4 linked regions of the Yarrowia lipolytica genome follow. The protein of the gene in region 3 purifies or fractionates together with the protein of the main gene of each other region. This does not show direct contact. Links are inferred from orthologs where the notes say so. Each region holds a gene or a part of one and is shown on either strand. Other genes may lie near its edges.

Region 1 (7,544 bases), on a different chromosome or scaffold from region 3:
GTGGAATGACTGCTCAGAACACAGCTGGGGCAGATCTCAAGTATGTGCAGGATAAGCTAGGGGTAGAATGCTGGCTAGTGGAGATAGTCAAATGTTTTCATCGGTTCGTGTCTCGCTACTCCAGCAACCGCCGGAACAGTCTGTCTGCTCAACAGCAGTTGGGTCTTGTATCTAACTTACCCTTGGGTACTGGGTGACAGCCGTGGAGCAGTAAAAGTGAGTACAGAAGAGTCGTTATGGGCCCAATGGGGACAGGGAAGCTGGGCTATGCAAACTCGGCACAAGTCGATGGTGATCAGTTCCGAAATGGGTCTTCAGTCTGACCGTTGCAACTGATCTCCCTTTGACTGCTTTAACACCTCAGGAATCGGAACTCTCCCTGGTCAACCCACCCCTCCAACCATCCTTCCAACCACCCTTCCGACCACTAATACCATACATCTAGATTGTGCAAGTACATCTCTGGCAACTCTCCCTCCACCCCCACACAAAACAAAAGCCCTATATCCACCTAGATACTCTAAATACCTATCTGTGTCACGTCGCCGGTCGCGTGGAGTACTCACTAAATATCGTTGAGAAAATCGTCGTCGTCGTCGAGTCCAGACATGTTAACTATCTAGTCGCTATGTATGTGTGTGTGTGTGGTAGAGGAGAAAACCTCCCTCTGCGGTGTCACTATGCACTCTGTTTTACCCTAACCCATTCCCCCAATTGGGGAAAATATCGAAACGTCGTGTGTTCGATTCCTGTAAATGATTATGTTAAAAAAAAAGTCAAAGTCTAAAAAATATTTTGATAATGCGACTACTGATCTGAAAAAAAAAAAAAACACCACACAAACAGAAGCAATGAAGTACCTGCTGTTGCTGTCGCAAACGCACATGCAGTTTCGGCTGGCCGAACTCACCGCCCTGGCCCAGCTCGAAAATATCGCCGTTGACTTGTCGTCCCATGACGAGTCGTCTCCGTTCATGATTGTGGAGCTGGAGAACGACGAGGCTGCCAAAAAGCTGATTCGACGATCCGTGCTTGCCAAGTCCATCTACGAGCTTTGGGGCGGTCCAGCTGCGTCCATGGAGGAGCTTCACGAGCAGATCAAGACCCAGACCAGCCAACTGTGGCCCAAGTATGCCACCGACTCGTTCAAGTTTGAAATCATTGGATACCAATCTTCGCGACCCAAGGAGGAGTTTATCAAGATGGTGGAGGGGTTTTCATACATGGATTTCAAGGGAAAGATCAAAATGAAGTCGCCGGACCACGTGTTCACCATTCTGGAGGACTACCGAGTCATCGGGCAGAACCCCGAACCCGCTCCCGCGCGAATATTCTTTGGACGACACATTGCCAACTCCAACCGGAGTGCCATGGACACTTTTGATCTCAAGAAACGCAAATATATCGGCACGACGTCGTTTGACGCTGAATTGTCTCTTTTGACGTGCAATTTGGCGCATGTGAAGCGAAACGGGCTCATGTACGATCCCTTTGCCGGCACCGGATCGTTTCTGGTGGCTGCGGCAGCGTTTGGAGCTCTCACGGTGGGTTCGGACATCGATGTGCGCATGATCAGAGGCAAGGGTAAAGGATGCGATATTCCTGCCAACTTCAAACAGTACAACTCCGTTAACCGGCTTCTGGACGTTTTGGCGGTCGACTTCACCAACAACTCGTTCCGAAAGGGTCTCAAGTTCGATTCCATCGTCTGTGATCCTCCCTACGGAGTTCGGGAGGGTCTCAAAGTCCTGGGAGTGCGAGAGGAGGACGTTGAGAAGAAGAAGCATCTGGAAACGACTCTGGTGGACGGTCAGCTGGCGCATACTCGTCGAGATTACATTCCTCCAAAGAAGCCGTTTGAGTTTGGAAAGATGATGGATGCTCTGTTGAGTTTCTCGGCTGAGCGACTTGTTGAAGACGGCCGGCTCGCCTTCTGGATGCCCACCGCCAACCAGGACTACACAGACGCCGAGATTCCTCTCCATGAGGATCTAGAGCTCATCTGCAACTGTGTGCAGGACTTCAACCAGTGGTCGCGACGGTGTTTGGTGTACAGGCGACGAAAGGAGGGCGATAAGGGCGAGTTGAGAAAGACTGAAGGCGGTAAGGCTGAGGACTTTCGAGTCAAGTACTTCAAGGGGTTCAAGAATGAGTAAAGGTGTGAGAATGAGCTATATAGATGGTAATGCATGGTTATTGGAGACTGAAAATTGGTTTTATTTTCGTTATTTTGGTAATGCATGGTTATGGGTGACTTTTGGGACTGGTAATTGGTTTTATTTCCATGTTTTTTGTTTTATTTTCGTTTTATTTCGTTTTATTTTGTTTTATTTTGTTTTTTTTATTCTATAATATTTTATTAATAATCGTAATATTCCTGCTGACCGCTCTTCCGATCTATCCTTAAAGTTTAGTTAAAAAAGCTCCGTTTTAGTTGACCCAATACTTTGTAGTTACTTACACTGCTTCGCCAAAACAACACTCTCCAACTCACCCAGGACCACTCCTATCGTAAAAAGGAGAATATTGCCGGAATCTCCAACACCACCTGTCTCCACCAAACCCGTCCTCATCGCCTCTCGCCCATCCCCGACGCTTTTCCTTAGACCTCTCCCCGCTACCGCCAAACCTTATGCACCTGTAATTGCACACCATCACCATCACCAACCACAGTTGCGACGCCACTCAGTTACACACAGAAACCAACCATTCTACAGCATGTCGCGGGGATTCAATGTGGCGCACCAGAAGGTGTCGCTGGACGTGGATCTCGGGGAAAAGGTGCTGCGCGGCTCCACGGAAATCACGATTGTGCCGTCGGACCTGTCGATACGGCAGTTTCGGTTCGACTGTCGGCAGGCGCAGATCAAGTCTGTGTTGGTGAACGGCAAAAAGGCCACGTTCACACATCACGACGCCAGCGGCTACGAGGCGTTCAGCGACTCGCGCACCGTCTCGGACGTCCATCAGCACCATCTCTACCGAAAGTACATTGATCACGCCCACAAGGAGGTGTTGGAGGGAGAGCTGGAGGTGAATCTGCCGCGAGGCGTCAAGGTGAGCTATCAGGACACGTCACGGGAAACAGGGCCCGCCGCAGATGAGGAGGCCGTCGGGGTGTACGCTCCTCTGATTGTCACCATTTCGTTTGTGGTCCGGGATCCCAAGACGGGAGTCACGTTTGTCGGGGGCCATGGATCGAGGCTCAAAAAGTCGTTCTGGCATGCATACACAACCCACGCACCCATAGGAGCGGCCACCAGCCACTGGCTGCCGTGTGTGGACGGTCTGTGGTCTCGATGCACGTGGCAGTTTGAGGTGACGGTGCCCCGAACGGTGGGCAGTCTAGGAGGAGCAAGGGTCGAGGAAGAGGAGCCCGACGTCGATATGGAGGACGCAGACGACGACGAGGGTCTCGAAGGAGCCACTCCACGTGTCAAGGAAGAACTTGCCGACGAGCATGTGGTCAAAAAGGAACTCACAACAGAAACCGGGTCGCCAAAACAGACCGTTGACGACGATGATGAGGATGAGGAGATGGAGCAGGACGACAAGGAAGAGGAACTTGATCTGGAAATGGAAATCGAAATTGAGGTGGTGGGAAATGGAGCTGTGGTGGAGGAGCTGTCCCACGCCGATGCATCCAAAAAGACCATTGCTTACTCCCTCTGGAACCCCGTCTCGGCCCAGCACATTGGCTTTGCTGTGGGTCCATTTGTGGAGGCGCCTCTGCCTGATTTCAGAGACACAGACGAAGACGAGGACGGAGGAACACCAGCAGGATTCCCCATCAAGGTGTTTGCTCTTCCGGACCAGGTTTCCGACGCCTCAAACACATGTGTCTTCCTACACAAGGCCATCGAGTTTCTGACCAATGAGTATGGTTCATTCCCGTTCGACGCCATGAGCGTGGTGTTTGTGTCTGAGTATGGCAAGGCACAGATGGGCGCGTCTGGGGGTCTCTGTGTTGCCTCTGACGATTTTCTGTATCCTCCGGATGTAGTGGATCCCCTGCTTTCGTCCACAGAAGCTCTCACAGTTGCCCTGACTACCCAATGGTGTGGTGTCAACATTGTGCCACGCACCTGGAACGACACGTGGTTGACGCAAGGTCTGGCTATTTACATGGCTGCTCTGTTCATGAAGCGTCTGATGGGCAATAACGAGTACCGGTACCGGTTTAAGCGGTTGGCTGAGATGATTTGTGAGGAAGATGTGGGTCGCCCACCGCTCGCCAAGCCCCATTTTCGATTCCCTCTGTTTCCCAAGGATCTGAGCTTCATCAACCTGAAGGCTCCGGGAGTTTTGTTTATTCTGGATCGTCGAATGACCAAAATCGACAAGACGTTTGGTCTTTCTCGAGTCATTCCCCGTATCTTTCTGCAGTCTCTTTCTGGTGATCTTGTCAACAATGCTCTGGGCACAAACCACTTTTACAAGCTGTGTGAGCGAGTTTCGCACTGCAAGCTGGACGAGTTCTTTGACCAGTGGGTGTACTCGAGTGGTGTTCCTGTACTGCAGGTCACCCAGCGGTTCAACAAGAAGCGAATGTTCATTGAAATGGGTATTCGGCAGACCCAGACCGACAAGAGCGGCGAGAAGAAACCTGTGGAGGATACCTTTATTGGGGACGTTATTCGGAGTGAAGAGGGAGTGGATCATGGGGATGAGGAGGAAGGAGGTCCCAAAACGCCACTTTTTACTGGTCCCATTACAATTCGAATCCACGAGGCTGATGGTACTCCCTACGAGCATGTGGTGGATATCAAGCACATTTTTACCAAACTTGATATCCAGTACAACACAAAGTATAAGCGGCTGAAGCGGAACAAGAAAGAGGTGGAAGCTGCGGCCACTGTTACTGCAACTGCGGCGCCTCCTGCAGCTTCTGCTTCAAACAATGAGGAGGATGAGGTCGGTGTGGTCATCTCGTGTCTGGGCGATGTGCTACAGACCGATGCAGAGTTGGAAGAGTGGGAGCTCAGTGAGTGGGGCAAGGATGAGGAGATGCGCATGTCCAATGAGGCGTTTGAGTGGCTCCGAATCGACGCAGATTTCGAATGGATTTGTAAGATCCATGTCAACCAACCCGATTACATGTACGCTTCTCAGCTTCAACAGGATCGAGATGTGGTTGCCCAGTACGAATCGGTGCAGTTCTTTGCCGAGTCGCGACCCTCCAAGGTATATTCGACGATCCTGCTACGTACATTGATTGATCGGCGGTACTATTATGGAGTTCGAGTGGCAGCAGCACTTGGGTTGGTGAAGATGGCAGTTTCGGAAACGTCTTACATTGGTCAGACGCATCTGTTAAAGGCCTTTCAGAACTTGTTCTGTTTCCCCAACTCGTCTATTCCTCGATCTAACGACTTTTCGGATTTCCCCACATATTTCGTGCAAAAGGCCATTACTCGAGCCTTTTCTCAGATCAGAAATGGAGATGGCGAGTGTCCCGCAGAGATCCGGACGCTGATTCTAGACATTTTGGCCTACAATGAGAATTCAACCAACTCCATGAGTGACTCGTTCTACCTGTCTGATCTGATTACGTTTTTGGCCGATGTCTTGTGTTCGTCAGACAGCAACGACGAGTCTACTCGTGAATTTGCTGCCCGTGCAGTCAACGAGATTGATCGGTGTGGTCGCCTGGACACTTGGATTCCGTCGTACCAGAACGTGGTGACTGTGGCTGCATTGGAGGCCAAGAAGCGGCTCTTTCTCAAGGGTCTATTTTCTGCCAAGCTGCAGGATCTCATCCAGTTCACGCGTTCTGTCAACTCATCGGAGGTGCGTCTGGCAGCTTTCGAGGCTATGTTGCACATTGGTGGGCTTCGAAACCACTACATTATGCATTATGTGTTCGCCTCGGCTGCTCTGGACGACTCTGCGCGGGTGCGAAACGGCATCATCGACCTCTTCACGCGGTATCTCGGCACTTTGGCCATCAAGGGTGATATGTCTGCAGATAACCATGCCGATGACAATGACGGTATGATTGTCGATGATGGTACCCAGGCGGCGATGGAGGCGCGAAAGGTGCAGATGGCTCGAACGTCGCTTACTGGGGCTGCAGATATTCTTCGAGACATGCTCCGGCAGGACACCAGTCTCCAGACTGAGCTGTGGGACTCGCTACGAAGTCCATACCACGGTCTGGAGGCCAAGTCGCAGTTGCTAGACGTGTGTCAGGTGCTGTTTGTACCTGTGGATGCTTTCAAGGTCAAGTTGTCGACCCCCAGTCTGATCAAGTTGGGCGTAGACTATTCTTCTGGAAGTTCTTTGGCTTTGCGGGTGGAGTCCAACATTCCTGCTCCGGAGAAGACGGCCGTGTTGCCTGCCATCAAGAGCAAGCGGCTCAAGGAGCAGGCGCAGAGGTCGGAGATTGTGGTGGTATCCAAGAACAACCCAAAGGTCAAGTATTCGGTGAGGCCGGGCTTCAGGATCACGACAAATCCCGGTCCCAAAAAAAAGGAGGTCAAGCGGTTGTCGGTAAAGCTCAGTTTCAAGTAATAATGTATATTTATGATGATTGTATTGGGGGAGGGGGGAGGAGGTAGGAACAGAGAAGACGCAAGTTTGTAGGAGGAGGTGTAGTCGTTTCCACCAGTAGTACTACGACGCCTTTGCTGGAGAATGGGAGAGTACATCTGCGGTGAACTCTGCGGTGAGCTCTCGTGGTTCAGTTGACTGCTGAACACATCTTTTGGTCAAACACGTGACAATGTTGGTGGATTTCTGATGACCGGCCCGCTTCTTTTGAGTGTATATGTCTGTAGAGTAAGAAGGAGAGAATGTATATATTATTTATACGTCATGTCGTGTTTTTTTTTTTTTTTTTTTTTTTGTTTTTGTTTTTGTTTTTAAGTCTTCTTTTTTTGTATCTGTTTTTTCATAAAAGTAGTTGTTCGCCTCCAAGTCTGCGCTATGTTTTCGTTCCAGAGCACTTTGAGGTATAGACACAAATGGTACACAATCTCTATAGAGGCCAAAGATTTCAATAATGAAGTCCCTATGTGTCTAGCACCTCCATCGCGTTCTGTAAATGGATATTTAAACCTGGACTGGACATGTTCCGTATGTGCTACAAATGAGGTTTGTCATAACTCGATAAGGGGTCTATCAGTGGAGTTTGGGAGTTAAAAATATGGCATAATGAGGTCCAATAAATACAATAATCGGCTCTGTTTTTCTCTATCTCTCTTCTGGCATTCAGGAGCATCAATTCAAGATGTTTGTCTAAGTAGAATGGAACGATGGGTAATAATTCAGGCTGAAGAGTCACGTGTTCAAGCCAATTGTCCAAAGTGACAAGTGCTAGGGCTAATTATATCTTGTCTCTAAACCATTCCAATGCGTGCCCTTTGCGCTGGAACAACGGCGAATATTTTCAGTACAAACACATCGATGCAAGTAGGTACAGTATGTAGTCAAGTAAGTTGCTCTTGCTAGGGTAGCTAATGTGTAAACAGTGAATGATACAGTACTGATAGGTTGATTATCGTATCCTGCAGTAAACTGCTTTACGAGTAGAATGACTGACC
Region 2 (4,348 bases), on a different chromosome or scaffold from region 3:
TTGAGTCCGACACCACCTTCTGGCGCGTCTACGGCGTGGCGGGCGTGGCTATCGGCATCATGTGCAACGTGCTCTATCTCAAAGTATGCAAGGTGGGCCCCGGAAGCCCCACCGACATCGACAACTTCTCGGTGCCACTGGTTGAGTACCAGAACGCATGCAGCGCCGAAGGCCAACATCTCACGCCTCCTCGAGAGATGGCTAACTCCGTGTGTGCCAAGGAGAATGGAGGTCTACGGTTCTGCACCAAATGCATCGGCTGGAAACCGGACCGATCACACCACTGCTCAAACTACAAGCGATGCGTGCTCAAGTTTGACCACTACTGCCCCTGGTTTGCCACGGCCATCGGGTTCCACAACCACAAGTACTTTGTGCTGTTTCTGTGGTACGTGACAATTCTGTGTTTCTTCTGTCTCGGCTCTACGGGCTTTGTCTTCTACAACCACATTCTGGAGATTGGTGCCATGCGCGGCCCGGACGGAAACACAGACTACGTGGGCGCAATATCCGTCAACGTCATGATCCTCATGGTCCTGGCACTGGTGTTTGCCATCGCGGTCGGCACGTTTGCCACCTTCTCGCTCTACCTCGTGTTCAACAACCAGAGCACGGTCGAGTTTCTGGAAAGCACCCAGTACCGGTCTGCCGTGCCCACTGCCGCATACAGATACACGTTTGCGCCTACGTCCAAGACGGTCGGAAACGTGTTTGACGTGGGCTGGAAACGCAACTTCCAGCTCGTCATGGGCGACAAGTGGTGGATGTGGCTGCTGCCTATCCAGCCCAGTGAAGCGGCCCGGGGCAACGGTACCCAGTTCCCCCTTAATAAACAGGTGCTGCAAAAGATCAGAGAGGCCGCGGCTAAGGAAGTCCAAATCAGAGACCAGAACCAGGCCTACATCAAGCAGCAGCGTCAGCAACAGCAAAAACGCACACAGTACGACCTTCCTCAACATCTCCAGCCTCCTCCTCAGGAGCACTATGAGTATGACGACGAGGCCCAAGACTCTGGAGACGACATTCCATTGATCAACATGGTCAATAAGAACAACACGAAATGAGAATAAGAGGTAGCCGACGAATGAATCGGGGGCCGACAAATTCTTGGAAGCTATCTCTCCCCTCCAGCATATAGACATTGCATTTAACCTGATATATTATACCCCATTCAGACAAAGATGCATATTCAGGCAGATCTTGGACAGTATACAGATACTATGCGGGTAAATTACTGTACCCTTTAATACCATACAAGTACGTAGATGTACCACTCAATTGTGTACATACAGCTACAGTATGTACTCGTTCTTGTACTATCACTTGAACATATTCTCGATTACATTACTCTACTCAGCTCGCTGCTTGATAGCATTAGACCCTCGGGCCTTGATGGCAATCACACAAGCGGCGGTGAAGAGAAAAACAAAAAAGCAGCTGGCGTTGTGCTTCTCCCGCTGGTACACGGCCTGGGTACGGTCCCGCAGGTTATCATAGATTTCAATGGCCTTCTTTTTGGAGCCATGTAGTCAGAGCTCATCCTTGTCGGACTTGCCCTTCTTCTTGACGTCCTTCTTGGGCTCCTTGGCGTCCTCCTTGGCAGGCTCAGCCTCCTTGGTCTCGGACTTCTCCACGGGGATCTCTCCGGCATCAGCAATGGTGATGTCGACCTTGGGGTTGGATCGAGCGCCGGTGGGGGCGTTCTCAATGGCGTCGACAATGTCCTGGCCCTCGAGAACCTCGCCAAAGACAACGTGCTTGCCGTCGAGCCAGCTGGTGACCACGGTGGTGATGAAGAACTGGGAGCCGTTGGTGTCTCGGCCGGCGTTGGCCATGGACAGCTTGTAAGGCTTGGTGTGCTTGAGCTGGAAGTTCTCGTCGGGGAACTTTCGGCCGTAGATGGACTCGCCTCCAGTGCCGTCTCCTCGGGTGAAGTCTCCGCCCTGGATCATGAAGTTCTTGATGACTCGGTGGAACTTGGAGCCCTTGTAGCCCTTGCCGGTCTCGCCGGTGCACAGAGCTCGGAAGTTCTCCACGGTCTTGGGGACCACGTCTCCGTACAGACCCATGACGATCTTTCCGAGCGATTCCTCGCCCTGCTTGATGTCAAAGTAGACCTTGTGGGTGATTTCGGCGTCGGGCTCGGCCTGTGCAGGCTGGACAAAGAAGGCCAGAAGAGCCACGAGCAGAACTCCAATGGTGGCAAACAGTTTCATGGTGGATAGTATCGTGTGCTGTTGTGCTGTGTGGTGGCAGTAACAGGGAAGGAGGCGTGCTTAAGTAGTCGTACTGTTGGGACCGTGTTGGTGCTACGTGGAAGAGCATAATGTTAAACAGGACCAATATATGTCACGTTGGAACTGGTGGGCGCAGGGAGATGGGCGCGAGGGGGAGGTCGCGGGGACGTCACGAGCGCGCTCAATTGGTGCAATTGGCCTCGTTGACCTAGTCATAACCAGTTGGTGACTGTATTATTCATGTATCCACGTTCTTGGGTGGGATTGCAGTGTATGTGGGGAGCCAAGCACGTCATAACATATGCCTGGGATCTGATTTTTTGAAAGAGGTGACAACATATCCCTCAGATGGTACACAACTACTTCCTTTTGGCATCTTTCTCTTTTTTAAAAGACCTCAACTGCGACTTTTATAAGAGTTATGTCAGGTCCCTGATTCACCAGCACCTCCCCACTACCCACCACTCATAACCTGAACCTAATAATGCACGATCCAACATGCAACTCTATCAGAAGGACAGAAAGATTCACACTCATAACCGTCTACCAGAAAGACACACAAAAAAACACACACAGACACACACATGGAATCGGGTGATCTTCCAAACGCAGCCACACCGCGAGACGTGCGTCTGCTGCATCTGATTCTGGCCTCCATGGGCGTCACCTCGTACCAGGAACGGGTGCCTCTTCAACTCATGGACTTTGCCTACAGATATACACAAGGCGTGTTGCACGATGCACTGCTGTACTCGGACCATGCTGCGGCCGCCAACAACTCTCACAACGACAAGACGGGCCCTGTTTCCGGCGGATCTGGCGGAAATGCCAACGCAGCAGCAGCAGCAGTTTCCACGTCGGCTCTGTCAGTGGAAGACGTGCGACTGGCTATTGCTGCTCGAGTCAACTACCAGTTCAAGCCAGCACCACCCAAAGAACTGCTTCTGGAGATGGCACAGGAACGTAACCGACGAGCTCTGCCACAGGTACAGCCTGGCTACGGCTTGAGACTGCCCCCGGAGAAGTACTGTCTCACTGCCAAGGAGTGGGATTTGGACGAGGAGGAAGAAGAGACTGTTGAGGGAGCTGAAGAGACCAATAACAACAGCAGCAATGAGGATAAGGAAATGAAGGATGCGGTCTAATTAGGTGTATTTTTATTGATTATTGAACTCCGCCGGAGTAAAGGTTGGAATTTCATGGATATTTGACGAGAGGTGTTCGTAGTGCTTCAAGGGAGAGCAAGAGATGCATCAGAAACCATTGAAAGACTGATTCCGAGACACAAACTACACTGCTGTACACATAAATGCATTCCACAGCCGTACGCTTCATTGTACAACATGATACCACGAGTACAATTAGTTACTTGTACTGAAAAAGCTATACAAGACCATTCGCTACGCTCCAATTCTTGAGGTCAACAACAACAATATAAATACACTATGCTAGTCTCGCCGTTGGTTACGACTGAATCTCGGAAAAGTTCTGCACCAGTTTTCCCACCGGCTTGACGTTGGACTCCTTGGCAACCAGCTCCACAAACTTGCCGACATGCTTGGAAACCACCTGTTTGTCCTTTTCGCTCAGGTTGGCCTTGCTCACGTGAGAAGCATCGCTAGCAAGCACCACAATGCCTGTTTCGGGGTCCAGCTGGCGCTTGAAGTCGGAGGCACTTCGTTTTTGGGTGATGCCGTTCGGGGATTCGACCTGGGCCACCGCGCCGACGTCGATGAGATTCGAGCCGGTGCTCGTCACAATCTGATGCAGGTTAGACATGCGTTTCTGGCGGTCCGAAGGGTCCACTGCATTATCGTCTGTGGTGTCGATTGTGTTGTTTCCAAGAAGAGGTTCATTTTCGGAGATCTGGGTTAGTAATCTGCATAGAGAGAGTGTGTGGGGAAAAGATGCCGGCAATCAAATGAATACTCACACCAGGAGGGTCTTCCTCAACGGGCCCTCTTAAGCAAGACAGCAAGACACCCATTTGCTGTGTGTTGTTAGTAAGATGGTGATGGAGATATGAAAGTGTGGAGATGCATGTTTGAACTTAGATGAATATCATAACAAGAAAGGAGAGTAGTTACTGGGATGTAATGGATATGTCGGGA
Region 3 (5,187 bases):
AGGCACTTGCCCAAGAAGCAGATTGCTGCTGAAGGTTGTAACAGTTCCAGTTGACATTGAACGGGGGAAGTGGATCTGGTTTCTCACGGAGGTCTGGTACTTTCAGCTGAGAAAGTGACGGAAACTCCAATGTTTGGATCACGTGCTCTCAAACCAGCAGAGACTGGACTCTCCCGGCTGTTCAACGCCTTATCATTACATGTACTAATGTCTGAGTGCTCCATGACCAGCTTTCTGAGAACACCAGCGTTTCTGAATGTCTCGAAAGATCTGGACCCAACTCCAAACAGCGCTGACAACGTCTCCAAAAGTTCTATACTGGCTATGAAGAACTGGTCACGTGACCAAGTCAAAGTCGTTACCCTTTGTTGTTCCAGATACGGCTCCCAAAACCCCCTTCCAGTCTCCCAAAATTCCCTGCCCTTCCTTCCTTCCTCCCTTTCTCAGTCACATGATTGGAGTATCCACACGTGATTAGATCATCTGCACGTGATTAGAGCATCTGCAAGTGATTATAGTCGCTTGACCACATTGCGTGACCGCTTCTCTTCTCAAGCTTGCCATGTCTTCCGGTGTGAGCACACTTCTATCTGTCCTATTTTCTAATTGTACCCAATTTTGTCAGAATTAGTACCAAATTAATCATCGAAACGACACGGTTTTAGTAAACTACTTTTTATCCCTCCAGTGCTGGTATTACAAAAGTTGGAGACACAAACGCTCGTCGGCCAGATTAAAGTGGAATGTCCGTGAAAATTCTGAAAATTGTACTGAAGCCTGAATGGGGTGTCAGAAGGGTTCCAAACGGTTCCAAGGTGTTCCAAAGTGTTCCAAAGCCTTTTTTTCAGGCGATTATTGTGGTTTTATTCTGCTTTTATGTCTTTCGGGGTCGTTTATTAAATCCCAATGTTCATATACATTGTCTGTTTAGGTGCCATATACAGAAGCCTTTCTTCTGCACAAGACTGCTCATTTGTGACGGTTACATAATCAGAACATTAGTAAAAATTATATCGTTGAAGAGCTCTTGTTCAGGTGAACACAATTGTTTTGTTGTTAACCGTCGATAGGTTTATTATTGGCTGGGTTGTGCACTTCTTTTCAGGGGACGGACCGTATGTAGCTCTGGAAGAATGAAGTCACCTCCAAGTCAATGAATCTCATGCAGACAGAACCAAAGTATCATAGTGTCGTCACGTGAGACGCGGAAGTTGGACACGTGACCAACTACTCGATCTTGTGCTCCGGTCACGTGAAAACTGAACACGTGGACAACTATGCCAGTCATATGACAACATGCACACACCCTCCACTACTCGTACAGAACCAGAATAAATTATTGTATTTCATTAGACCGATGCAGACCGTTGTTAGACGACATACGGTGGAGGTCCCGTGGCATATCGAAGCAGTGTAGAGAGATGACTGAAGTTCACAGGTCGACTCCTCTGGTGAACGGACCACGAGCGGACCCATCGGACTTTGTCGTTGGTGTGGAACGGAATAGATTCGGGTCTGGATTTTCTCCATATCAACTCCCACCCTGCCGAGCTCGGCTAAAACAAATCATCCAAATCCATATCGTCGTCACTGCCCACACCCTTGTCCTTGACCTCGCCCTTTTCCACCTTGTCCTCACTCTCCTCCTTCTCCTCCTTCTTTTCCTTCTTATCGATCTCCTTCTTCTTCTCCTTGATGGTATTCTTTGCCTTGAGCTGTTTCTTCTTGACCTCCAGCTCATGTTTGAGCTTGGAGATTCGCTGGTTGAACCGCTCCTTGAGCATGGCGTTGGCGGTGCGGTCGGCGTCGTCCTGCTGCTTTTTGATGGTCGCCTCCAGATCTGCAATCGTGTCGACCAGCACCTTGGCGTGTCCTCCCTCTTCACCGTCGTCGTCATCGTCCATTCCGGCCGACGCTCGGGGCAATTCCTCTTCGTCCGAGTTGTCCGACTCACCTGCGCCTTCTCCCTCATCTTCGGACTCGGACGCATCATCGGCCTCGATTTCTTCGCCCTCATCCGAGCCTTGGTCCTCCAGGGCCCGCTCCAGCTCTTTATCGAGCAAATCCACGTCCATTTCTCCCTCGTCGACCATGGCAAACCGCGGAGGAGGAGTGGCGGCGGCAGAAACAGTGGTAGACACAGATTGCGAGCCCGCAACCCCACCGGCTCCATACAAGGACGCCAGGGTGCGTCCATCGACAAGCTCATATGATGTGGAGTCTGCCTCGTCGTCCAGATCCAGCAAGTCCGTCACCTTTTGCTCCACCGATTCAATCACCTTTGTGGACACGGTTTTTCTGAATCGGCGACGTTTGGCGTCAAACAACGGCGGAGTCAGGCCATGGCGACAGGTCAGCGCGCTTTCGCTGGAGCTCTTGTCCCATTGCATCGACCGCGCCTCCATAATGCTGTGTTCGGACGAAATGGGCTCGGTGACAAGTAACATTTGGCAAATGTCCAGACACTTGAACATGTTTTTGCCGCGGTCAAACGTCTTTTGGGCCTCGACGATCGCCGGCAAGTCCACCAATTTCGCCGCGTAATGCCGCCCCCGCACAGAAACCACCGCCCTGCGCGAGTCCTTGAACCGAATCACAATGTTGCTGTAATCCTGGTTCTCCACCGCCGTCCGCAGATATGACAGGTCGTCGCGGCCTCTTTTACCGATTGGTGGGAATCGCAAAATCAATCCCTCTTCAATCAGCGGATCGTCTTCGCGGTCCGGCGCTTCGCTGTCGTATCCCTGGCCCGGTTCGCGGGCGGCCTTGACTCGGATCCGCGGCACCACCTTGCTCTTTTTAGTGGATCCGCCACTCGCGGTCGACGCCCGGCTGCTTTCCGGCGCCGCGCTCTCGCTCTTTTTGTTGCTCAGTTTCAGGGACAACCGCGGCTTGGACTCCCGCTCTTTTTTGGGCGCCTTCAACTTGATGCTGAGCGACGGAGTGCTCGGTTTGGCCCCTTCCTCATCCGTTTTGCGCTTCTTGGTCCGCCGCTTCTCCGGCGATGCCTCCGGCGACCGTTTTTCGGGCTTCAGCTTGATTTTGATCATTGGTCAAGTGGAGAGAGTGGCTAAAAGTGGTGACAAGTGTCTGGAGTAAGTGCAGAAAGTTTATTTAGAACCAGACGGGCCCTCCAGTTCTCGGTAGGTCAATGAAATCGTGTCGAAAATAAAATATTTGGAATCTCCTCAATCACAGCTCCACAATGGTATTAATATTTCGGGTGGACGGTCGGCGGGAGACGAACTTATCTGAAATCTTACTTGTTGACATTTGTTGAAAATTGGTTAGCATTCTGGTGTCATTTGTTGAAACTTGGTTAGCTACTGTTACCAAACCCTTTCCAGATAGTTTTCATGTTTTTCAACACAATCAAAGAACAAATGAGAAATATTGAATGGAGCATACTATTTAAAACAACCCCATTAACAAACTGCAACTTCAACCATTCAAATCTGAGCAATGTTGGAGCTTCAAGATGAGAGTCAGTGTATACATCAGAAGTCGTGGGAAGCCAAACAGAGTCTCTGGAATCGCCAAAAGAGTGTCTCTTTCGTCAAAAGGTGATCTCGTCCACTTGTTTTCGGTAAGACATATCTACGAGTACCTACAATACGAGTACCTCATCACCGTGAGCATCCAAGAATCTCCTAATCTACAAATTCTGCATTACGAATTCTGCCCTATTATCACCTTAGTCAGCGACAGCCCATCAGACATTCCCCCCCCCCAGGTCAGTCAAGGTCACCCCCACCGCGCCGACCAAGACTCTGATCACGTGACCACCCTGAAAGTACCCATTGTTCTCATCACGTGATCATTCAATCCCGTCGATCCTGTTTCCGTTTGGCTCCACTTGAGTATATCTGACTATTTTTTTATCGATATCACTTTCTGCAGTGATATGCAGATCGGAAGAGCGGTTCAGCAAATGAATTAAAATAAATAAAAAATAACTAGAAATTAAATAAATAAATGAAAAAAAATATAAAAATATATACAAATATATACAAAAAAATGGGATAAAAAAAGAGAAAAGGAAGAAAAGAAAATCGCACAATGTACCTACTTTATTGTGAAATTAGTGGAAATATGGAGCCGTCTAGGAAGATTCGACCGTATTTAGATGTGGTGTAGCGTGGGAATTTTTTTGGAAAATTGGGACCGGAAAATCTGAAATAAAATGGGAAAATTGGGACCGGAAAATCTGAAAATCAAAATAAATCAGATAAAATCAAATCTCAAATCAATAAATCATTTCCCTAAAAAAAACCCCATTTCAAGCCTCCTGAATCACAGCAAAATTAGGAGAAGAATTTTCACTGTGGAAACGATGGGACATGGAAAATGGAAAAATGGAAAATGGATAAAAGAAAAAAAGACAATTGGAAAAATTGGAAAAATTGGAGAAAATATGGAAAAAATGAAAGATGGCAAAATGAGAATGGAAAATGGGAAAATGGGGAAATGGTCAGAAAATACCACATGTATCAGTTCAGATGTTTCCCCGCTCAGACTCGCCCAGACATTCGCTACACTCTCATCTGGGCTTGTCTCGCCTGGGCCCTAACCCTAAAATAAACTTTGGAAAAAATTTAGTCGTCCCAAATTTTTTTCCCATCCATCTCCACTGACTACACTTGACAACCGCACTTGTCATCTACGTCACCACCGCCCACACACGACACCATGACATTTATTCTGACGGAAACGTCTGCCGGCTACGCCGTGCTTAAGGCCAAGGACAAGAAGATCTACAAGTCGGAGTCGATTCTCGAGGAGCTGTCGACCCCCGAGCTGGTGACCTCGCAGTTCAAGGTCAAGGGCTTCTCCAAGTTTGACTCTGCCGCCTCTGCTCTGGAGGAGGTCAACGCCATTGTGGATGGCCGGGTCTCCGACAAGCTCGCTGCTTTGCTCAACGAGTTCAAGGACGAGAAGAAGTCTGCTCTGGTGGTGGCCGACCCCAAGCTGGGCAACGCCATCAACAAGCTGGATCTGCCATTTGACGTGGTTGCCGAGTCCGCCTCGCTCGATCTCTTCCGAGCCATCCGAGAAAACCTGCCCTCTCTGCTGCCCGGCCTCACCGAGAAGGACCTGGCCACCATGAGCCTGGGTCTGGCCCATTCGCTGGGACGACACAAGCTCAAGTTCTCCCCCGACAAGGTCGACACCATGATTGTGCAGGCC
Region 4 (4,698 bases), about 2.2 Mb from region 3:
AGTTGTTTCGATTCAATGTCAACCAGAAACATTCTTGAACCTGAAGTTGTACAAAATGGTCATTCTTCCGATTCAGGGCCTTCATGACTTGTTTCTGCTGTAATATGTCGAGATGTATCTGCGCCCTATACAGTATATTGTGACAGAAAGGAGGAATACACTTGTAAACAGTCTCAAGAAGTTCTCAAAAGCTCTGGGGATGAGTTCAGGCGATGTTCCAGGCGTAGATGGACTTGTTATTTGGGTCTGGAGCAATTGTTGAGAAATGTTGGTACCTGCGAAGACATGGGTCCCCACAGGTTGTTTTGATGGAAGTGTCTGTTTCTCAAGCACCTCTTGGCCTGGCCTTTAACCACAATTGATTGTGCAAAAAGTCTCTAGCTCGTCGGGGGTGTCTGAACGGTTAGAAATGTCCTCACTTCCTGGGTTGGCGCTATCTGAGCCGAACGTGAAGCTACCATTGAGGCATATATGGTAGCTGATAAAGTGTCCAGGGCTAAATTGTGGGTTAGCGCAACGCTTACTGGCCATGTTTGAGTATAGTATGTACATAATGAGAAGGATGTTAGAAGCTGAAAAGTGTTATTGACCTGGTTGGTCAGCCCCCTAGCTTTTTGAAGAGTTAACCACTTGGAACGTTGACACATTCGCAGATTAAGTACAAGTGGGAAGTTTCACCGCTATAGAAAGAGTAGCAGCTTCCACCAGCTGCCAGGGAAGTCCAAGCACGTCATCTAAACATCTGCCTTACTTAGTGATCTGCAGAAATCAATGACAGCAACAGTAATGACAGGACACATACAATTTACTTGAGTCTGTCACGCGTCGTCCATAGCTTTCCTCTCTGACGTAGTACATCTTTACTCGTCACTGAGATATTCGCATAATCAGTGCATAATCCATGTACAGTACTACTTTGTATAATCAGAATGATGGATTGTAGCTATGATGTATAGGATTGGTGTATTAGTCAAGTGATTGCGTATTGAATTCATTGTAGGAATGATTTAAATATATTTATTCTTTAGAATCTTGATGTCGGATGATAAGAAGTTGGACTTGTACTTCTACAAGATTTTTTTGTATGCGTCTCCCATTTGTCTCTCTCTCTCGTACTTGTACAACTAGGCTCAAATTAAGATAGAAGCACTTGTAAGGGCGTGAATGGGCTCTCAAACAATTCTGCATTACGTGATATCTTGTCAAAATGCTCTCTCAAGCACTATCTGGTTTTTTTAATTTTTTTTATGTATTATATTTATTACTTTTTTAATTTTTTTTATTCAAATGGGTTCATTACATTTTTTTATTCTAATGATTCATTGCAGCTGACAAATCAAAACCAGTCTCCAGTGAGTCCAACCACTGATGGAGAAACAAGCCGCCTTCGTGGCCAAGTGGTAAGGCGCAGCACTAGTAATGCTGAGATCATCAGTTCAAATCTGGTCGAAGGCATTTTTTTCCTTAAAGCGAGGATTATACGAGCTGTTTGTGATGGGTTTTCATCAGTGTCCCAGAAACCACCTTTTTGTGATTGTGTGTATAGTCGAGTTGAAATTTTGATGCACCTATGTTCCAACAGGTCTCAAATTTACCACTACAGTAGCTAGCTAATTGTGTTTCAATACTGTTACAATGTTCCTCTGGTGACACTGTTGTGCTACAGTATGTACAGTATGTCGTGTTCAACACCTATAACCTTGAACACAGTTTGCGCTCCTGTCCTCTTAACCATCACTCAACTTGCTCACCCACACACCTCTCTGATAATATCCAAATACCACAGTATTGCTTTACACGATACTCGCTTGATACCTACTGTACTGACGTGTATACTTGGACACAGAAACTTGCTCCACTGGTCATCTTTTGCTGTTACCACTTGCAGACAGTGATACCTACATCGAAACCGCGATACCTGACCGTCACCGATACACTCCACTGACACACCATTGATACACACCGTTGATACAAGGACTCATACCTCACCACTGATATACAGATATAAACATTTGGCACACACTTCTCGCACCCACCCGATAGCCCCACCTCAAGATGAATCTACTTACCATCTTAATCTCGACACTGCGCGTCGTGTCAGTTCTGGCACGACCCATCTACTCGACTCCAGTCCACGTGTCCACTGGACCTATCCTTTCGCGACGCTCGGAATCGACCGACGAGAGCTACGACCAGTGGTATCAGAGTCTGAGTGAGCGTCGACACAAGCTGAATATGGCATCGAAGGAAATCCAGGCAAAGCAGCACAAGGAGTCTGCTAACCGCATCAAACACAGCACTTCGCAGAACTTTGACCTGGAGTACGAACCCGACTGGCTGGATGGTCTGGTGATTCAAACAAAGGGAATGAAGGTGGGAAAACACTCTTACAAGGTGCCCCACAATCGTGGGATCGATGCGCGACGAGGAGTGCCCAACAAACAGATATTTGATGCCATCAACGAGCCCGAAGACGACGCCAATTACTTTTGGGATCCCAATTGCCCGCGGTACAACCAGACGGCTCAGGATAAGATTCCCAACTACCCTCGCCCAGGAGTCATTGATCCTCCTACTCGTTCACCTGCTCGCGGAGATGTGGAAGCCAACAACAAGAACGATAACGGCCGAACTGGTCAGCGTGGCAGTTCGGATGACAGAGGCAAGAAAGGTACGAAACCTGTCCAGTTCTCATCTGATGCAGGCCTAAGTTTCAGGGCTAGTAGCAACAGTCTTTTTATTGCGGTGGTATACTTGATATGTCTCCTGTAGTGTAAAGCGGTGTTTTCAGCTGATGATGTTTTATAAGCTGTTTATGTTAGCAGGTTACTGTTTATGTAATTAAGGGATGTACACTATAGAATTGTAGATGATCATATCTGATTAACCGGACGGCGTATGATATATATATTCGATCACCTCAAAGCTAAGCACAGCTTGATGATTCATTTGATTGCGATTACAATATATTGCATCACCATATGGCTATGACCCAATTATTGCATATTTTAAATTAACTCAACCACAAATCGAACCCCAAACCTTGGCAAGTATATGGAGAGATGCAAAATCGAACTGACAACCGGGGCTAAATTAGCCTGCTGCATTCTCGAGGCTGGCGCGTCACACACAGAACGATACAAGACTAGACAGCGGACTATTGATACAATGGCGCCCCCTACAGTGAGTACGAAGTTGAAAGAGGGAGCCTTGAGGCTGGAGGAGGATGCAGAATTGAAATATTGTGAGCCTCGATGTTTCAATATGATGTCTCCATGCTAACCCAGGTCCAACGACAAATAAAAATCACAACCACCCAGGAGGTGCTAGACGACGTGCCTCCGCAGCAGGAAGGATTTCCCATGCGAAAGTGGGCCATCGAGATCTCGATGCTCAACGACAAAGGTGAGGAGGTGCCCGCCACGATGTTCGATGAGGTTATCTACCAGCTGCACCCCACGTTCGTCAACCCCAACCGAACGTTCAAGAAGCCTCCGTTTCGAATCGAGGAGCAAGGATGGGGAGAGTTCGATCTCAAGATTGTGTTCGTGCCAGCTGACAAGGGCCCCAAGCAGTCGGTCACTCACGACCTCAACTTCCAAAAGTCCAAGTACGAGGTGATTCACAACCTAAAGTTCCCTACCAATCGGCCTGGTCTGGCCAAGCTGTTGGCCGAAACGGGCCCCGTGCCTGGATACTCTGCGCAGGCGGCCTCTCCGGCACCAGACAAGCGACGGGCCGAGGAGGACGACTCCAAGCTCAAGAAGAAGAGCAAAGTGCTGGAAAAGTCCAGCGTGGACCTGGAGCGGCTTGCTGCCGGCCTCCAGAGACTCAAGGAGGACGATCTCATCCGAGTGCTGCAGATGGTCACGGACAACAAGACTTCTGACATGGCCATCAACAACAACGTCGACGAGGGTGAATTCCACATGGACCTGTTCACCTTCCCCGACAATCTGCTCAAGAGTCTGTGGGATTTCACAAAGCGACGATTCCCCGATGTTTAAGCGGACTGGAGAGTGAGGAGGTACCCTTAGATCCGTCGGAAATCCCGGTTCTTTGTATATTAGTATATTAGTAAGATGTTATTGATTTACGTGTGGAGATGGGCTACAGTAATGTGCAAACAGCCCCAGTAGAACTAAGTAAAACCAGGAAAGTGTACCTTTAGTGAAGAGTGAAAAATCAATACCAGAGAGCTACTTGTACAAGTATTCACCTCACGCTTAGAGAGATTAACGTAGCTCAAGGTACTCGTTAGCTAGCTATAGCTAGGGATGTGGCGTGACTCATTAAAGACCAGTACTACAGTAACTGCGGCTAGTAGCAAGTAGTAGAAGAGGTAAGTACCGTGCGTAATGTACGAGTACAGTACCGGTACTGTACCGCATTGTGTTTTTATCCACACAGTCAGGTGGATGTAGAATTATAAGTACTGTAATATGTAGTTCATCTCACCATCTCTTTCTTATACAGTCCTAAATGAGCACCAGCTACCTCCTTCCACATTCTCGGCAATACATACAGAATATATTATCTCGTCTTCACTAGCAACTAGTGGTACCGTATATCTAGTGCGTACGGTAGTTAGCACATCGTTTCTGTTGACATCTCCTTGAGGCATGACTCAGTGATAGCTCCGTAAATGAACAACATTGCATTGGACAGTCGGAGCATTATTATAACTGCTCAAAGTAG

What was found.
Region 1: the proteins of YALI1_B01644g (region 3) and YALI1_C19529g purify together in Saccharomyces cerevisiae (affinity purification with mass spectrometry; 5 studies listed by BioGRID, with this or other methods). This does not show direct contact. The link is inferred for Yarrowia lipolytica from reciprocal best matches to the Saccharomyces cerevisiae genes TAF7 and TAF2.
Region 2: the proteins of YALI1_B01644g (region 3) and YALI1_E27243g purify together in Saccharomyces cerevisiae (affinity purification with mass spectrometry; 5 studies listed by BioGRID). This does not show direct contact. The link is inferred for Yarrowia lipolytica from reciprocal best matches to the Saccharomyces cerevisiae genes TAF7 and TAF9.
Region 4: the proteins of YALI1_B01644g (region 3) and YALI1_B23373g purify together in Saccharomyces cerevisiae (affinity purification with mass spectrometry; 4 studies listed by BioGRID). This does not show direct contact. The link is inferred for Yarrowia lipolytica from reciprocal best matches to the Saccharomyces cerevisiae genes TAF7 and TAF14.

Annotation. Positions count from the first base shown.
Region 1 is NC_090772.1:1,950,257-1,957,800, forward strand, and holds YALI1_C19529g (uncharacterized protein), read left to right. Parts: upstream 1-2,718; coding exon 2,719-6,513; downstream 6,514-7,544. Other genes in the region: YALI1_C19500g (uncharacterized protein), read right to left, coding at 567-610; YALI1_C19510g (uncharacterized protein), read left to right, coding at 756-2,156. UniProt on the Saccharomyces cerevisiae protein: Functions as a component of the DNA-binding general transcription factor complex TFIID. Binding of TFIID to a promoter (with or without TATA element) is the initial step in pre-initiation complex (PIC) formation.
Region 2 is NC_090774.1:2,722,814-2,727,161, reverse strand, and holds YALI1_E27243g (uncharacterized protein), read left to right. Parts: upstream 1-2,821; coding exon 2,822-3,382; downstream 3,383-4,348. Other genes in the region: YALI1_E27273g (uncharacterized protein), read left to right, coding at 1-1,064; YALI1_E27249g (uncharacterized protein), read right to left, coding at 1,530-2,216; YALI1_E27229g (uncharacterized protein), read right to left, coding at 3,702-4,103, 4,171-4,224. UniProt on the Saccharomyces cerevisiae protein: Functions as a component of both the DNA-binding general transcription initiation factor complex TFIID and the transcription coactivator SAGA complex.
Region 3 is NC_090771.1:162,312-167,498, reverse strand, and holds YALI1_B01644g (uncharacterized protein), read right to left. Parts: upstream 3,051-5,187; coding exon 1,557-3,050; downstream 1-1,556. Other genes in the region: YALI1_B01628g (uncharacterized protein), read left to right, coding at 4,690-5,187.
Region 4 is NC_090771.1:2,335,833-2,340,530, reverse strand, and holds YALI1_B23373g (uncharacterized protein), read left to right. Parts: upstream 1-3,254; coding exon 3,255-4,007; downstream 4,008-4,698. Other genes in the region: YALI1_B23385g (uncharacterized protein), read left to right, coding at 2,056-2,772. UniProt on the Saccharomyces cerevisiae protein: Functions as a component of the DNA-binding general transcription factor complex TFIID, the RNA polymerase II associated general transcription factor complex TFIIF, and the chromatin-remodeling complex SWI/SNF.